2 linked regions of the Macaca fascicularis genome follow. The protein of the gene in region 1 binds, or shares a complex with, the protein of each later gene. Links are inferred from orthologs where the notes say so. Each region holds a gene or a part of one and is shown in the gene's direction. Other genes may lie near its edges.

Region 1 (4,063 bases):
ACTGATGAAGGAGGCTTGGAAGAAGCCCCCCACCCCTTGACAACGTCTCGGGTTCCCTTCAACAAGCTCTGCCTGAAATACTTCAATTCTTGATTCTGCTTACTCCCGAGTCTGCGACTGTATAGCACCCATCCCTCTGGGGTCAGAAGCAGTCGCCCCATGAAGTTTGTCTCATCCCGGAGCTGATGGCTGAGCCAGAACTCAGGCACTGACTTTTCAATCAGCAGGGCCTTACCTCAGGTTAGGAATGCCCCGTCCTCTCTCTTTCCTAGACACCCCAAAGCCATCTCCAGTCTACTGGGGGCTCTTCAGGTAGAAAGAACCCCAGAAAAGTCAGAAGCAGACCGCGACTGGAAGTGGGAGGCGAGAGGGGGGTGCATGGTTTTCTTCTCGCCCCCCAGTAAGGACGACTGTTATCAGATTTGAACAGATTTGCACGAATTTTGCATCAATCCCACATGCCTTTACAAAAATAATATTATCTTTGTTTTTATCCTAGAATCCTTGGTTCCATTTCAGTCTCCTCAAAAACGTAAAACAATTTAACAAAAAATGTCAAAGCAGAGTAATGTAAAAGTATTCAAGCACATGACAGTTGCCTGGGTTTGCCTGGCTTTCGGTCTCCTACAGGAACTCCTAGATTAGGGCGTTTGGAGCAGGACTCCCGGGTCAGGGCGCGCCGCACCATCCCCTGGCCTCCAGGCTGCAGAACAGAGGACCAGAGGGCAGAGAGGTGGACCTGTCTTGGAGTTCTCTTCCTGCTCCCAACTCTTGCTGCAAACCACCCCAGTCTCCTGCACTTCCGTCGCCAAATCCCTAGACTTGAGAGGGAATGGAAGTCAGAGCTTTGGCAGCAAGGAGCATTGCTTGCGCTTTGCCTCAGTTTCCATAAGGTTAGGGAAAAGAGAGGACAGACTCCTGTTCTAAAGTTGGGCAGAAGGGCAGAGTTCGACAGAGCCTCATCCTTCATCTTAGGTGCTTTGAGAAAGAAGGGACAATCTCTCGCTGCGTCCAGAACAGAACGCTAGACTTGGGGCGCGGGGCGGGGACTCCAACTCGCGTGCCACGCTACTCTAGTCTCCTGCCCGGATAGTGACTGTAGGGGTAGGGGTGGGAGGGTGGAGGGAGGTGGATTAATCCCTTAATTACGCCGTGATCGGCGTGGCACCTGCTTTCCGCCTGCCCAGCTCCCAGGGGACTCCGGCACTGGGGGGTGGAGAGAAGGACGAGGGAAGGAGGAGGGCATGAGGAGGCACCGACCGTACCCAGGCGAGCCGGCAGGAGAGCGGCACCGTGGCTGCCGCAGCGCGCAGAGGCTGTGGAGGGGCTTACGGCACCCGGCCCGCGGGTCTCAGACCCAGGGGCTGGGCCCCGAGCCCCCCGCCCCGATCCCAGCTGGGTCGAACCATGCTGCGCTACCTGCTGAAAACGCTGCTGCAGATGAACTTGTTCGCGGACTCTCTGGCCGGGGACATCTCCAACTCCAGCGAGCTACTCTTGGGCTTCAACTCCTCGCTGGCGGCGCTCAACCACACCCTGCTGCCTCCCGGCGATCCCTCACTCAACGGTGAGTCCCTGCCTCTTGGGGATATGGGATCCTGGGATGGGGATGAGGTGAGAGGGCGGCGTGGAAGAGAAGGAGAATCACTCCTGTCCCGAGGTCCAGGATTGAGCGGCGCCTCCCAGCGCCTCCCTGGGTCTTGGGGGCTAAGGGATAATTTGGAGCTTGGAGCACCTGAGTGGGGGTACCCGCGGGAGGTCGAGGGCTTGGGAGAAGATATCTACTGAGTCTTTTTACACCTCCTTCCCTTCCCCTACAACGCCCACCCCAGGTGAGAAGACCGTGGCTGGTGACGGGCAGGGAAGTCCGAGCTAAGAAAGGCCCGGGCCCAGCGCAGGGAGGGCAGAGGAGGGGGCACGGTCTCCCGCCGGCCTCGGCCAAGCCGGGTCACTCGGTGACCCACCCAGGCAGCTGGTCTTCGGAATCCCGAAGTTTCCCAAGAACTCACTTAGGACCAGAGGAAGCCAAAATGCTGGATGTGTTTGCTACGGAGGGGACAGGGGCGGCGATCATTTTAAGGAAACTTAGAAGTTTGTCTTTCAGCGGCGGGACTCTCAGCCGGCCCACCCCGGCAGAGCTGTGGCGGGCGGGCGGAGCTGGCTGCGAGGTCGTTACCGCTAATTACGGCGATTAATAAATGACTGGGACAGCGCGCTCTCCCCTAGCGCCGCGGGGAAGCTGCGGGAGCCGGCCGCCGCCAGCATTCGGAGAGGCCGGAGCGCGCCCCCTGCCTGCAGCATCGGCAACCCCGGCTTTCCCGGGCGCTTTCGCGTGTGGTTCCCTCCAGGTGCACGCGGTCCCCATCCCTCTGCCTCGACCCACTCGAGTCTAGTGACGAGCACTGTGCTGGGGACTCGAAGGTGGAGAGAAAGGAGACCGGGGCAATATGTGTGTGTTTATGTGTAGGACACATCAGGTGCTGAGGGAGGAGCCCCAGAGCCTCATTAGCATGGCCATTAGCTATTCATTAGGCTGCAGTCGAAGCATCTCCTGAGACCGGGAAGGGTAGGGGGAAATTCCAGGGAAAGGGCGCCTGCAGCTGCGTCTACAGGAATTAGGGGGAAAGGACCGACCAGAAGGGTGTGTTCCGTATGGAAGGAGTGGGGAGGAAGACGATGGGGGATGAGCCCGATTCTCCAACCTCTTGACCCTCCTAGATTCCCAGGAGGTTAAGCACAGACCCCTTCTCGCTGGCACCCCGCAGAGTCCCGCTTCTGCTCACTTAGCGCTTTTACAGAGTGTTTTCACCATACTTGGTCTCATCTAAGCTCGAAAACTTAGTGAGGTATGTAAGGAAGGTGTTGACAGACACATTTTGCCGCTGAGAAAATGCTTTATAGAGTGAATGGTGCCCTAATCGTCACAAAAGCAGCATGAAGCAAAACCTAGCCATAACAGATCAGTCTATTTCCTTTACACCTGAGGGCTATACCAAGGGGAAAAAAGAATATTGGGGTCTGGTAGAATTCGATTCAGGTAGAGACTGTAGGAGCCAAGATAAGGTGCATATGCTGGGAATACAAGCCCTTAAATAATGGCAGAGTAGTAACATTTATCCCCCAATGCCTTACATACATTATGGTCTTAGAGCAACCCTATCACTACTCCCACATCACAAATAAAGAAACTAAGACTCAGAGAAGTTAAATAATTTGCCCAAGTTCTTACAGCTAGGAAGGGTCAAAGTCTGAGATTCCAGCCCTGGTTGGTTCAACACCAACACCTGAGCTCTCAGTCACTCCAGTGTTGCTCACCACGGGGTGTTCCAAAATTGGGAATGGGAGGAGATGGAGGAGAAGAGACGGGTGAAAAGCAGAGATTTCCAATTGGAAGGGAGATGGAGAAAATTATTCTCTCAAGTGGGACAGAAATCGATCTTCTTGACTACAGGCAATTAAAATAAACTTCTCAGGGCAGCCCCAGCACTGGTCAGCCTGTCCAGCTTTGTCTACAACAGAACTTCTAAGAGGAGGGGCGGAAATGAAACCCAACTCACACGTGGGCTGGAACCGGGAGGTTCCTGCAGATTTTGGAACAGGGTAGGAGGGGAGGGGGCAGCGGGCAGAACAGATGCTTGAAGTGGTCCCTGGTTATTTTACACCAGATTATTCAAGGCTGCAGTGGCACCTACTGGCCGCCACGGGTTACAAATCCACTTTTGTTGGCTGGACTAGAGGCTGAGCCTGCCGGAGTATAACAGGCTCCGGGATCCCAAACCCTAGTGCAGAAGGCGAAACAGGCCAAAGTCTGCAGGCCAAGTGACAGGTGGGATAGAATATGTGGATGAACTGATTCGAGTGAGCAGGGAAAGTAGAGGAACATCAATCAGTAGGCTAATCTATTGGAAACTATGCACCTCTCAGGAAAAGGAGACTTACTAATATTTCTACTGCTCTTTGAGTTCAATTCCTGTGATTTCACAGGACACTTGAAATGAAGCATGATTATCCGGGGTGTCAGTAAGAAGGACTCTGTGCGACTCATAGAATCCAGGTTGACAAG
Region 2 (4,108 bases), about 78 Mb from region 1:
GTTTCCTTGGACTCCTCTGGAATCCCTGTTGTGAATATCAAAGGGGTACTAGTGGTGAGGGGCAGTAGTTGGGGGGGTCAGAAAGAGTGGGAAGACTGAACAAGCTGGGTAACTTGAAATTATGTGGGGTTCATTTGCTGTAAATCAGAGGCTGTCATTTCAGATTTCATGACTTTACATGTCCAGTTGTAAATAACATTCCTAGGTGTTAGTGGGACAAATACGAAGTGGGACAGCAGTCTCAAGTTTGGGAGATCTTCACAGGGAAGGTCGTCAGGTCCTGAAAGGGTCGCATAGAGGGGAGAGAACCCATTCTCTTCTTGCCAAGTAGAAAACAAAGCCTAGCTTTTCTCTCCAGAGAATGTTGTGGTGGTGGGGGAGGGAAAAGAAGGTGGAGGTCCCGGAGAAATTGCAAATGGGGCCAAAATGTGACTATGAAAGAAGAGTGAGCTTTTGATAATACCATTAAGAAAATCACGCAAGAAAAAAAAAAAGATGGTTAGGTATTACCCCTATGTGGCAGCATCTGCCCTGCAGAACGAGAAGGTTTGCAAACAGACTTCCCAAACCCCAACCACAGCTCGCTCTGCCTCGAGGACCCCTTTTCTGCACCCCCACCTCAGTGCCCTCTTCCTGCACCCACAAAGAGAGTACTCAGTCATAGGGGTTCACCAGGAGAGAGGAGAGAGAAGGTACAGGCGGTGAGCGGGAACTCAGCCATCATCTCACTCAGGTCTCTCCCTACCCAGCTGATAGAGCGAATCCCGAGTAATTGTTTTCCGAGGGGGTCCGTGGGCGCTCGGTGGCGCCGCCTCGGTCTGGGTTCCCCGGAGGAAAAATATCCACCCGCTAGGACACAGCGGCTTTTCGACTCGGCGGGGATGAACTGTGGCAACTTCTGCAGCCCCCACCGCGGTGCGGAAGCAGAGGCGGCAACATTGGCGACGGCGGCTCGGCGGGGCTGGAGCGCGTGAAGCCGTGGGGGCGCCGTGCGCCTCCCGCTTTCTGGTTTCGGCCGCGAGTCCCGGGACTCCGACTTGGGTGCTCCGGGTGGTAGCGGCTGCGGCGCCTGCAGTCCAGATCCTCGCAGTTCCGGGGGCGAAGAAGGCGAACGGAATCGTCCCCCAGTGGGGAGCGCAACAAGCCACAGTAGCCAAACCCCTCGCTCCTGCCCCGGCTCCCAGGCGAACGCAGCTGCAGCGGGGGCCGGGCCCCGAGCCCCACGCCGCCGCCGCCGCCCGTGGAGAGGGGCGGGCTGGGGGCGGGGCGGCCGGGGCTGCCTTCCCGGGCGCATCCCCGAGCGCAGCACAGGCGCTGCCGAGCCACCTCCCCCGCCGCCCGCTAGCAAGTTTGGCGGCTCCAAGCCAGGCGCGCCTCAGGATCCAGGCTCATTTGTTTCCACCTAGCTTCGGTGCGCCCTGCTAGGCGGGGACCCTCGGGAGCGATGCCGGTGGATGTGATTTTAGTTGTGTGGTTCTGTGTGTGCACTGCCAGGACAGGTAAGCATGACGGTGGCGGTTAGAGGGATCCGGGAAACGGGGGTGCCCATAGCCCACGGTGGCGTGGGGAGACCTGGAGCCGAGCTCTACGCTGGTCTGGGGAACGGCGGTAGTGTGGATCGGTTCCTGGGATCTCTTTGCCCTGCTGGGAGTGACAGGGTGAGAAGAGGGACTCACGGGCTTGAAGATGTCCCCGTTGAGTGCCTGTTCTCAGGGGACCCGGCCTCTGGGGCGCAGGAGTGAGGGGCGCGGCCGAGCGGACGCACCCTCGGGCTGCTAGTAACCAGCTTTCTGTGCCAGGGAGTCGAAACCCGCAGCAGGGCGGGCCCGCGTGCCGCGTGTTCCCGAACTTGAAAGGTGCTGTGGAAACCGCTCTCGCCGACCCCCGCCAGGCTGGGAAGGGGTGGCTGCGGGAGTCGCACCCGCGGAGGGAGCGCTTCCGGCTGGCGGGTGCGGCCGGGGCCCAGGAGGGCGCGGTGCGGCGAGGGGAGAGAACTGCGGGAGAACCCTGGGATCCTGCGATCTCCTCCTGTCCCTTTCTGACTACCCAGGAGAACTCCAGGAGTATTCTCCTCCGCCCCGCTTTGCTCCCAAGGGTTGGGCGAACAATTATCTAAGGGAAATAGACCTGTGGAGACAATCCGAGGAGATTTTCTCAAGCTCAAACCAGTTTTCTCTTGCCATAATCGCAGGGTTCGGGGTGGGGAGGAGGAGCAAGGATGGTGCATGATTGTCTGAAGTCCCCACTTCGTTCTGCCTCCGGAGACGCAGTTGTGAGGACTCTCAGCGCATCTTCTTCCTTCTGCTTCCACCGGCTTCCTTGCCCGAAAGTCCCCTGGGGTTTGGAGACTGGCTTGCAGCCGCCTTCTTCAAAGAGCTAGTAGTAGATGCGCGGAGACTGGGGTGAGGTGAGGTGGGGTGAGATGTGGTAGGAAATTGGCAAAAATAGGGCCTGTCAACTAGGGGGAGTGTCGGAGGTTTGCAATCCTGCCCAGCCATCCCTCCGTACGCGCTGCCGACTTTGCACCCTAGAATCTGTGTGGTCATTCCCTCTGCCTTTATTCTCCCCGCTTTACCACCGTATTTCCTTCTCTATAGGCGTGGCCTTCTCTCCAGGCCAAAGAGCAAGTTCACCTGGAGAGGGCTGAGGGGGCGTCTGCCTTTAGTTGGCTCAAAAGTTCCCTCCGCTTGCGCCCAGGCGCCCCTCTTTGGCAATTAGCCCGCCAGAAGATCTAGCGTCTAGGAGCTTTCAGAGGACCCTTCCCACTTCCCCAGGACTGAGCAGGCAGCGGCTTTCGTCTGGTTAAGAGTGTTGAGTATGGATTTCTCCAGGGACAAAAGAAACCTCCCATTCCGTTCCTTACCTGGGAAGTTCCGAGCTTCCCAGGCTGCGGAGACGCCAAGGCTCAGTCTAGCTTAGAATAGTTACTTCTTGAGTTCAGGCCCATCAGAACGAGTTAGTCTTTTGAAACCAGAAAACGCTGAAGGAGTGCGCGCACCCCAGGAAGATCAGGACAGGCAAGACTAGTGCAGAGCGTGGGCTACCTGCTCTGAGCGCGAGAGTGCTGGTGGACATCTTGCAGAGGAACCGCAGACAGGGAGAAGCTTGAGAGGGAGGGGGCAACCCGTTAGTCAGTTCACCTCCCTAAGTGCACATCACTACGGAATATGCCTAAATCCTTTGTTCTCATTATTCCTTTGAAAAGTCGCCAAAGTACCCTTATCACGGAATGCAAGGTGTTTCAGGGTTCATTGCTTGTGGAGGGGATCTTTAAGAGCAGGTATTTTCCCTCTTTCCACTTCCAATCCCCTTTAAATCATGTAAAAATTTGGTTGTAGGGAAAAATTCATTCATGTATTTATTCATTCAACAAACGATGTTTTGCTGGGTGCCAGTATTTCTTATGCAAAGAGGAAATGACTTAGTCCTTGACTTCTAGGAACTTACAGCTTAGCTGAGAATCTAGATAGGAACTGGCAGGCATTTTAATTTTACAGATTGATGGGGGGTGGTGAAGAGGTAGGAGTATAAGTTTGTATTAAGGAAATATGGAGGAGGGACAGTTTGAATTAATTCTAGGGAGGAGTGGTGGTCAGGGATTTGAGAGTTGTGCCTTCAAGGCTTTGTAGGGAGTTTTCCAGGTGGACAAAGTGGTAAGGCATTCTTGGCAGAGGGAACAGATTGAGCAAAGGCAGGGAAGCATGGAAGAATCTGACCCATTGATTGTGACTGTTGCCTAGGGAGCTTGGGTTTTCAATGCCCCTTGGCACTATTTGAACACTAGAGGCCACATATTTCTTCACACATTATCAGAAGAATCAGAGAGACGGGGGGAATTACCTCTCAATTTGTACACTTAAAATATCTTGTAGTTTGAGAGGGTATAAGCAGTAGCTTTCTGGGGGCAGCCGTCTGATTTTGTGCAGGAATCACCATTACCACACCATCCATCCACCTCTTAGGTAACAAAGGCTGGCTGGTGATTAGTTTATCAGCATCCAAACAGCTGCATGGAAAGTTTCTTTGTCAAGTGGGACAATTGTTGTCTGGGCTGTTAACAGTCCTAGATGAAATAAACATGTGGTTCACTTAGTGAGCTGCTCAGATA

The links. The genes of interacting proteins can lie anywhere in the genome.
Region 2: the proteins of ROBO3 (region 1) and NELL1 are in contact, whole or in part, in a crystal structure (PDB 6POL), measured with the Homo sapiens proteins. The link is inferred for Macaca fascicularis from reciprocal best matches to the Homo sapiens genes ROBO3 and NELL1. Residues at the interface, in NP_071765.2 of Homo sapiens: Ser553, Pro555, Val590, Glu592, Phe594, Pro596, Asn600, Thr601, Trp602, Thr604, Ile624, Leu626, Arg630, Gly633, Ala634, Trp635, Gly636, Leu637, Ser638, Glu639, Pro646, Val647, Arg648; in NP_006148.2 of Homo sapiens: Ala440, Lys441, Met442, His443, Tyr444, His446, Tyr458, Arg468, Val469, Asp470, Asp471, Phe472, Ser473, Asp478, Ile492, Cys493, Thr494, Asn495, Thr503, Cys504, Lys505, Pro506.

The regions. Positions count from the first base shown.
Region 1 is NC_088388.1:123,437,340-123,441,402, forward strand, and holds the start of ROBO3 (roundabout homolog 3), read left to right. Parts: upstream 1-1,261; 5' UTR 1,262-1,407; coding exon 1,408-1,567; intron 1,568-4,063. UniProt on the Homo sapiens protein: Receptor involved in axon guidance during development. Acts as a multifunctional regulator of pathfinding that simultaneously mediates NELL2 repulsion, inhibits SLIT repulsion, and facilitates Netrin-1/NTN1 attraction.
Region 2 is NC_088388.1:45,050,463-45,054,570, reverse strand, and holds the start of NELL1 (protein kinase C-binding protein NELL1), read left to right. Parts: upstream 1-1,307; 5' UTR 1,308-1,444; coding exon 1,445-1,499; intron 1,500-4,108. UniProt on the Homo sapiens protein: Plays a role in the control of cell growth and differentiation. Promotes osteoblast cell differentiation and terminal mineralization.